Oreochromis niloticus: one gene and its partner. The protein of the gene in region 1 binds, or shares a complex with, the protein of each later gene. Links are inferred from orthologs where the notes say so. Each region holds a gene or a part of one and is shown on either strand. Other genes may lie near its edges. The genes, in order: agk and timm10.

Region 1 (3,925 bases):
AAAAAAAACAAAACAAAAAACCACCCGTGACCTGCATGTGTGAGAAATGACAGTGTTTTAAATTACCCATTCATGCCATCTTACCGGGTTCTTAAAAAGTGACAGAAAGTGAGGTTTGTGTTTCTTCAGCTGTAGGTCTAGGAGGTGAACACTCTCGGGCTGTCTCCTTAACACAGCTCCGTCCACTGTCTCCCAGAGCTCTTTCAGCGGCCCCCACAGACTGGCTCCTGAGGTTGTAAATAAGCTTTCAGATGTCTTGGGCCGTCACACAAGTATGCAAACAACTAATTTCTAGTCATTTCGAGTTAATTTGTTATAACCATGCTTGTTAACACCACTGCGGCATTTTGCACAGCACTATAAAAGATTCCAGAAGTATAGTACAGACACTTCTTTGCCTCCCCCGAGTTGTTAGTTTCAATTTTATTTCAAGCCGGTCGGCTGATCTATCAGACAAGTCTTGTCATCCCTCCCTGTTATTTCAGGTTTAATGTGGGAATTAGTTCGGTGTAAATGAGTAAAACTAATTTGTTATTTAACCTCAACTAACTTAACGTCTATTTGCTATGGGTAAGGCTAAGCTATGTTAGCCTGACAGACCCAACAACATGTGGTCAAAACATATCATAATCGACAAATCTGCGGCCAAGAAGCGCATATATCTGCGCTTCTATGCATAACAGAGGTTGAGATTTGATGCAATAACTAAACAAAATCCAATTATTTAATAAAATATACACCCTTACCCGAATTTACCGCCATCTGCGCCGCCATGATACGCTCACTAAGTTGGACAGAAGCTTCTGGGTTTGTGCCGGTGTGAAATTTAAAACAATCAATTCTGTAACGCTTTGGTCACTTTTAGTGAACAACGAATCTATCAGTCCTAATTTAATGTCCTCGCTGGTTAGTTGAGTAGATTAAATATCTTAGAAGATTTCATGGTTATGTGGGCTCTTTTCAGGCGGGGTCCTCCGAATGATGGCCCCGTCCCCATTAGCAACTATGGGAATTGTAGTTCTTGTAAGCTAAAGCGTTTAAGGCATTTAATTAAATCTACAATCTGTAAACTTAAAAAAAAATAATTAAAAAATAAAATATTTTTAGGAGACTTATATAAAGCAATACTTGAAAAAAATATGCAACTAGAAATAGTTCCGAAAAAAAACAAAACACAAGCGGAACCATGAGTTTGAGGCTCCTGTTTTGCTTCCAACTGTTTTGACGGTACACCAAAATGTCCATGCTAGTCTTATATCTGTGAGTCTGTGACCGCTGTGATGAAAATGTGTCGTTTATGACGTTTAATGATCTGTACCACTGCGCTAAAATTGAGGTTTTGAAAACAGTTTAATCACAGTCATGGCTCGAGTCGTGAAAGTGTTTCGGACTTTGCGAAATCATTGGAAGAAAAGCACATTTGCTGTGTGTGTCTTGTCCTACGGTGGATACTGGCTGTATGGAAAACACTGGTGGGTATTTCATGCTATGAATGAGACAGAGTGCACAAATTCCCGTTTTCGTGTCCTAAATGTTATGTATAATATTTCATCAGTGACAGCGTCCTGCGCAGAGAGGCGTGTCTACTAGCCAGGGTAAGGTGTCACAAAATTATTACCCCAAAACACAAGTTTCCTCTTTGTGACAGTTATCCTTAACATCATCATTTGTGTTAGGAATATGGACAGCAGCAGATAGCACCACAGGAGCGAATCAGGAAAGCAACTGTGATTTTGAACCCTGCAGCTTGCAACGGGTAAGACGCATAATCTCCAGACATCTCTCTGAGAGTCTTGTTTAATTCTTCTCAGAATATTTACAGCTTCCTGTGTTAATTTTCTCCAGGAAAGCCAACAACCTATTTGAAAAGAATGCTGCTCCTATTTTACACCTGGCTGGTGTGCAGATTACAGTAGTCAAGGTAATGTTTTCTATTTCAATTGGATATTTATCAGGTAATAGTGTCTCTGAGAGTGTCACAGAGCATGACATCACATCTAGATATTACATATCCCTCTACAGACAGACTATGAAGGCCAGGCAAAAAAACTGATCGAGTTAATGGAAGAAACAGACATGCTGATCGTGGCTGGAGGAGATGGCACGTTGCAGGAAGTGATCACAGGTTTACTGAGAAGGCCAGACCAAGTAGGTGTAATGTAATATAGTAGCTGTGTTAATCTGACATCATCTGTCTGTAATAACTGTATTCGGTCTGATACTTTAAGTAATTAAATCTTTCTTTTGGTGGATGTTTTCTGACCACAGGACGTCTTCAGTAAGACACCAATTGGATTCATTCCACTAGGCTCCCATAATTCCCTCAGTCCAAGTCTTCATCTCCTCAGTGACAACAAGGTCAAGTAAGTAATGTTTCAGCATCACACACAAAAAGATCATTACATATTCCCACGACAAACTTCACTGGGTTGTTATCATGTCACTCAGCAAATATATAGTACAGAATTCCTGATTTCTTCCATTAACTAGAATGTTTTTAATGTCATTCATTTTCCAGGGACATCACATCAGCAACACTGTCAATACTGAAGGGAGAAACTGTACCGCTGGATGTGCTCCAAATCAAAGTGAGAAACTGCTTATATATTGCTCTACACAGCCTTAAAGTTACAAACTAAATCTGTACTTATTTTAAAAAATCTTGCTGTTTTTAACAGCCAATATTAAAACAAGTGAGTAAGCCGGTAAACTGGATTCATAAAGCACATTTTAAAAATTACAAAGTTATTTAATATTTATTTTAAAAGCCATTAGGTAAAAAATATAGATATTTTTAAAAACATATATGAATATTTATTATAATGAAAGAAAATTACAAGAAAAAAAATGAGTTTTATCGGTTTTTGTGAGTATTTTTTTTTTTTTTTAATTTTCCAATGTGACATTATTTTTCCAGTTTAAAAATATATACATTCATTTATTTTGATGATTTTCATTTATTCTCCTTTTGTACCACCCAAACTTATTTATTCATTGACTTTCTTTTCATATTTTGAATACATGTTGGGCTAAACGTAAACATAAACTACTATTTTTAATTTTCTTCTTAATATTTAATATTCTCTTTTGCCATGTTGATGACTTTAAATTCAGCAGAAGAAATAAGCAAATTTAAATTCAGGTCTCCATGCAAATTATTTCATGTCCAAGGTGTGTAGTAATTAAAAAAAAAAGTTCTTCCCAGAGGCTTCAGGATCCTTGGCACTTGGGCTGTGCCATATCATATCATCTGCGATAATATACATTTTCCATGATATAAAAGTGTCATATTGCAGTATCTTTCCCATCTCAGTGACACCTGTTTATGTTTCCTAGCACACACAACTGAAAGACAAGCAAGACATATCTGACAGCAAGCGCTGAATTTCAGTTTTCAATTACAGGGAGTGCAGAATTATTAGGCAAATGAGTATTTTGTCCACATCATCCTCTTCATGCATGTTGTCTTACTCCAAGCTGTATAGGCTCAAAAGCCTACTACCAATTAAGCATATTAGGTGATGTGCATCTCTGTAATGAGAAGGGGTGTGGTCTAATGACATCAACACCCTATATCAGGTGTGCATAATTATTAGGCAACTTCCTTTCCTTTGGCAAAATGGGTCAAACGAAGGACTTGACAGGCTCAGAAAAGTCAAAAATAGTGAGATATCTTGCAGAGGGATGCAGCAGTCTTAAATTGCAAAGCTTCTGAAGCGTGATCATCGAACAATCAAGAGTTTCATTCAAAATAGTCAACAGGGTCGCAAGAAGCGTGTGGAAAAACCAAGGCGCAAAATAACTGCCCATGAACTGAGAAAAGTCAAGCGTGCAGCTGCCAAGATGCCACTTGCCACCAGTTTGGCCATATTTCAGAGCTGCAACATCACTGGAGTGCCCAAAAGCACAAGGTGTGCAATACTCA
Region 2 (3,925 bases), on another chromosome or scaffold:
TACGTGTGTGTATTTTTTACCCCGTCCAGTGGTCGGCTCTCACTCTAATGCTGTCTCTGTTCTGGTTGTATTTATGTTCACATGTCACATGAAGTTGCGTATAAAGATTCATTTTTACATTCTTCACTTCATGTTTGCACCACTTTGGGTTTTCGTTTAGTTCCTTGTGTATGCGGTTCAAAAAGATGTTTAATTTCCATTAATAATATGCTAAAGAAAAAGTTTACAATAAGTTTGTTTTGTCAATTTTATACATTTTACATTTTCAGCGAAATTGTCAGATGAATAGAGGAAAAGGCACTTGAGTGGCCTTCAGTGATGTCCCTCTGTATGTTTCCAATGTGGAAAAGATCTGTTGTTTTAAGTCTATATTTGTAAAAGTGTTTTATGTACATCAGTACATAATATAATTATGGTTTATTAAACGTTTTCATGTGACAGCCTGCTTTCTTTAAAAAGCACCATAGCTGAACACAAGAGGGCACTACAGAATATACACTCACTGGCCACATTATTAGTTACATCTTGCTAGAACTCTAATTGGCATAGATTTAACAAAGTGCTGGAAATATTCCTTTTCCATTTTGGTCCATATTGACATGACGGCATTGCATGTCACGGCTGCAGATTTATGAGCTACACATTTATAATGCAATACTTTGGATTGAGCTCTGGTATCTATGGAGGCCCTTTGAGTGTCTTGCTGGAAGCAGGCATCAGAAGATGGGTACACTGTGGTCATAAAGGGATGGACATGACACACAAAGCAAGGTCAATCTCTGCTTTTATGTTTTCACAAACTTCTTGACCAACCATCCAAATACTGCAGAAGAAATGGAGACGTACAATTGGGAAGCAGTTTTTCCACTCCCAAAACCAAGCATCCGGTGGTTATTTGAGTTACTGTTGCCTTCTCATCAGCTTGCAGCAGTCTGCCCATTTTCCTTTGTCGTCTGCCATCCACAATTAATTTTTACCCAGAGAACTGGTGCTCACTGGACATTTGATCTTTTTCTGATCTCTCTCTGTATTGGAACATCTCAGAAGATTCAAAACGTTTATTGTCATGTGTACAAAGAAAAGCATTTCTCTGTACGATGAAATTCTTTCTCTGCTGTCCACACACAGATGCTGGTTAATATGTACTAATAGATAAAATACAAATAGCATGAATAAATAAATGGAGACAGAAGTTTCAGAAATACAGAACAAACCAACTTCCTCATTCTGATTTGAACTTGAGCGTTTTTTTTTTTGTCCTTCATCTCCCTGTGAGGCTCTTATCTTACTTTGGAGAAATACACATTCAAACACACACCAGTAGAGGGCGCACTTCCTGCTCTCTCCGCTTTCTGCTTTTTGAATCCAACTTTATTGTCACCGGAAGTATGTGGAGGAAACGGTACACACGTGTTTTCGTGCAGGTTTGAAGGTTACTGAAGCAGCGGGTAGTGCTCCTTGCTTGCTGTCCGGAGGAGAGGCTCAGCGGGACGGCGTGTTTGTGGATCGAGACCCGGTGTGAGCAGAACTGAAGCGGAGCCATGGATCCTGTGAAGGCGCAGCAGCTGGCGGCGGAGCTGGAGGTGGAGATGATGGCTGACATGTACAACCGGTAAAGCCCAAACAAGCTAACCTCTCAGCTAGCCACAGCAGTCTGCTGTGAAGTGTGGCGGCTTTTATGTGTCAAACTTACATTTATTTACAGTGTGCCAGAATAATGTGCAAAGATAATTACTGTTTAGTGAAGCTGAGCCTGTAGAGCTCATCGTTAATGCGAGCAACACCTGATAAAGTCAGTGTCCTGCTAAAAAGCTCATTATTATAAAGGCCCACCAGCCGGCATGTTTAAGGCAAGGGGAGGCTTCTACTAAAGGGTGGCAAGGGTTAAATCCAGTGTATTTTAAAAAGAGCTATACTGACTAAAAATTAAAGACCTGAGTTAAGTGCTTAACTCACTGAATTTTCTTCACATAGCACAAATTACAGTATAGGCACAGTACGGCTGTTACTCATAATATAAAGATGTGTCCTCGTGTCATAACACAGTAATCTACTTAAATGCCGTCACTGGTGTAAGAGTAAGAGTGCATTCATTTATATGCCTATAGCTGCCCCCCGGTCATTGTCTTTGTTGTCTTTGTTGAAAAGCCCAAGTTATTTTCTATTTGCAAGAGAAGCATTGATAATGATTTGCTATGCGCCAGTGCACAGGTCAGTGATGAAATACATGTGTTGTAAATGTGGACCTAAAATGCAGCGCTCACAAAGGGTTTCTCTTTATCACGTCCACATATAGTTAAAGCAAATAGGCTGTGTTACCTGATGACAGGTGTGTGGATTTTAATGTTCTTTTTGGCTTACAAAAAAAACCTGACAAAAAACAAAAGAATTAATTTAAGCTTTTATTAAATTAAACCTCACTTTAAAATACCCCCAAAAAAACAGTTAAGTGATTTTGATCACAAGTATTTTTATACTTGGAAGAAACCTTTACAGCACAGACCTGCGTCTCTGAATGAAGAAAAAACTAGCCTGGTTAATATTTATCCTTTAACGACCTTGCACAAATTATACATTCATGTGCTTTTAATAAAGTCTTGCAGTTAAAGCCCACCGAGCCCGAGTCAGATTCAGTCAGTTGCCAAAGAAAATAGTTTTTGTATATTTTTTTCCAAGTGTGTTTGGCTTGAGAAAGATGAATAAATATACGTGAGCTATGAGTTATTGGTTTGTTCAACACAGAGCAACAAACAAGCAGTTCGCTTGCTTTACTTTTTTGACTGAGGTTTGATTGGCTCTTGGCTCTCTGTCATTTTGCTGGGATTTTCTTCTGCAGTAATTTGATGGCACCCAGTTTTTGACATCACTCCATAAACCAAATACTATTTTTTGTTTACATTTTGTGGATGGAAGTGAGCAATAATTCTATCAAATTCTAGTTAAAATTTTCTGAACATTCATATGATACCTGGCAACATCTTAGAGCCATTAAAGATGTCTTACTTGCCACCTGATTATTGCTTGCTCATACGTGATAATTCCCCTTTTGCCTTTAGCATAGATATAAAAAAATTGGTGGAAACATTCCTCAGAGATTTTGGTCTGTCTTGACGTGATGGCGTCACACAGTTGTTGGACATTGTCAGATGGGCCGTTCTGTTTAGTTGGCTCTGGTGGGCGAGGCATGTTATGTTTGTTTGTTATGTTTAGTATCTTTTCACAGGAAACATTTTGACATGTCAGTAAGTTGATAATGTTTCAGATTTGGGTTTTTTTTTTTGGTATCCCAATGCTGGCAATACTTTTACAAGTATGTTGTGTAAAATAATGTTTTTAACAGTTTAACTGTTTCTTGTAGTTCACCACAACAGTGACAGTAACTGGGTCTTTCGGGCAGTTAGAGGTGTTCGTGGCTTATCGTCAGCCTTGTTGCAGTTTTTTGAATTCTGGGGCAGGATGTGAAGAACCTAACCAATAATTTTAGTCGGGTTAAAGAAATAATCCACTGAAATGTAATTTATCAGAATTAGCAGTAAGGTCCTATCAGGTCACCACCCCTGTGTGTCCTAAGGCAAACGGTGATGGTGACCTGCAGAAGGACCTTAAGGCTTCTTCTGATGAGCATGGTGTTGTATTGAAAGACGTTTGGCTCGATGAAGTGCTTTTGGATAGACTCATTCAGCACCATGAAATGAGAGGTTGATGACTTTCATGTGAAATGTTTTTTGAGTTTGGTCTCTTTGTGAATCTCCTGCAGTGAAGAGGAACTGGGTTTAATGTCCGTCGGTGGTCATGTGGTGTTTGTTGGGCAAGGATGTATGAAATTCTGTCCTTGGGGCTTATCCCTGTGAAGACTTTGAGGACAAAGGAAGTAATTAGTTGCCATTTAACTTTTTGCTAGTTCTGGTTTGAAGTATATAATTAA

The links.
Region 2: the proteins of agk (region 1) and timm10 are in contact, whole or in part, in a cryo-EM structure (PDB 7CGP), measured with the Homo sapiens proteins. The link is inferred for Oreochromis niloticus from reciprocal best matches to the Homo sapiens genes AGK and TIMM10. Residues at the interface, in NP_060708.1 of Homo sapiens: Phe49, Gly50, Asn51, Gln52, Leu53, Ile54, Pro55, Pro56, Val60, Ser91, Gly92, Met93, Asp94, Val95; in NP_036588.1 of Homo sapiens: Glu40, Glu42, Leu43, Ser44, Lys45, Gly46, Ser48, Arg53.

Annotation. Positions count from the first base shown.
Region 1 is NC_031972.2:61,904,201-61,908,125, forward strand, and holds the start of agk (acylglycerol kinase, mitochondrial), read left to right. Parts: upstream 1-1,201; 5' UTR 1,202-1,362; coding exon 1,363-1,472; intron 1,473-1,555; coding exon 1,556-1,595; intron 1,596-1,676; coding exon 1,677-1,756; intron 1,757-1,845; coding exon 1,846-1,921; intron 1,922-2,022; coding exon 2,023-2,148; intron 2,149-2,268; coding exon 2,269-2,363; intron 2,364-2,518; coding exon 2,519-2,588; intron 2,589-3,925. Other genes in the region: nuclear pore complex protein Nup205, read right to left, coding at 85-227, 747-774. UniProt on the Homo sapiens protein: Lipid kinase that can phosphorylate both monoacylglycerol and diacylglycerol to form lysophosphatidic acid (LPA) and phosphatidic acid (PA), respectively. Does not phosphorylate sphingosine. Phosphorylates ceramide.
Region 2 is NC_031971.2:36,379,300-36,383,224, reverse strand, and holds the start of timm10 (mitochondrial import inner membrane translocase subunit Tim10), read left to right. Parts: upstream 1-1,379; 5' UTR 1,380-1,541; coding exon 1,542-1,612; intron 1,613-3,925.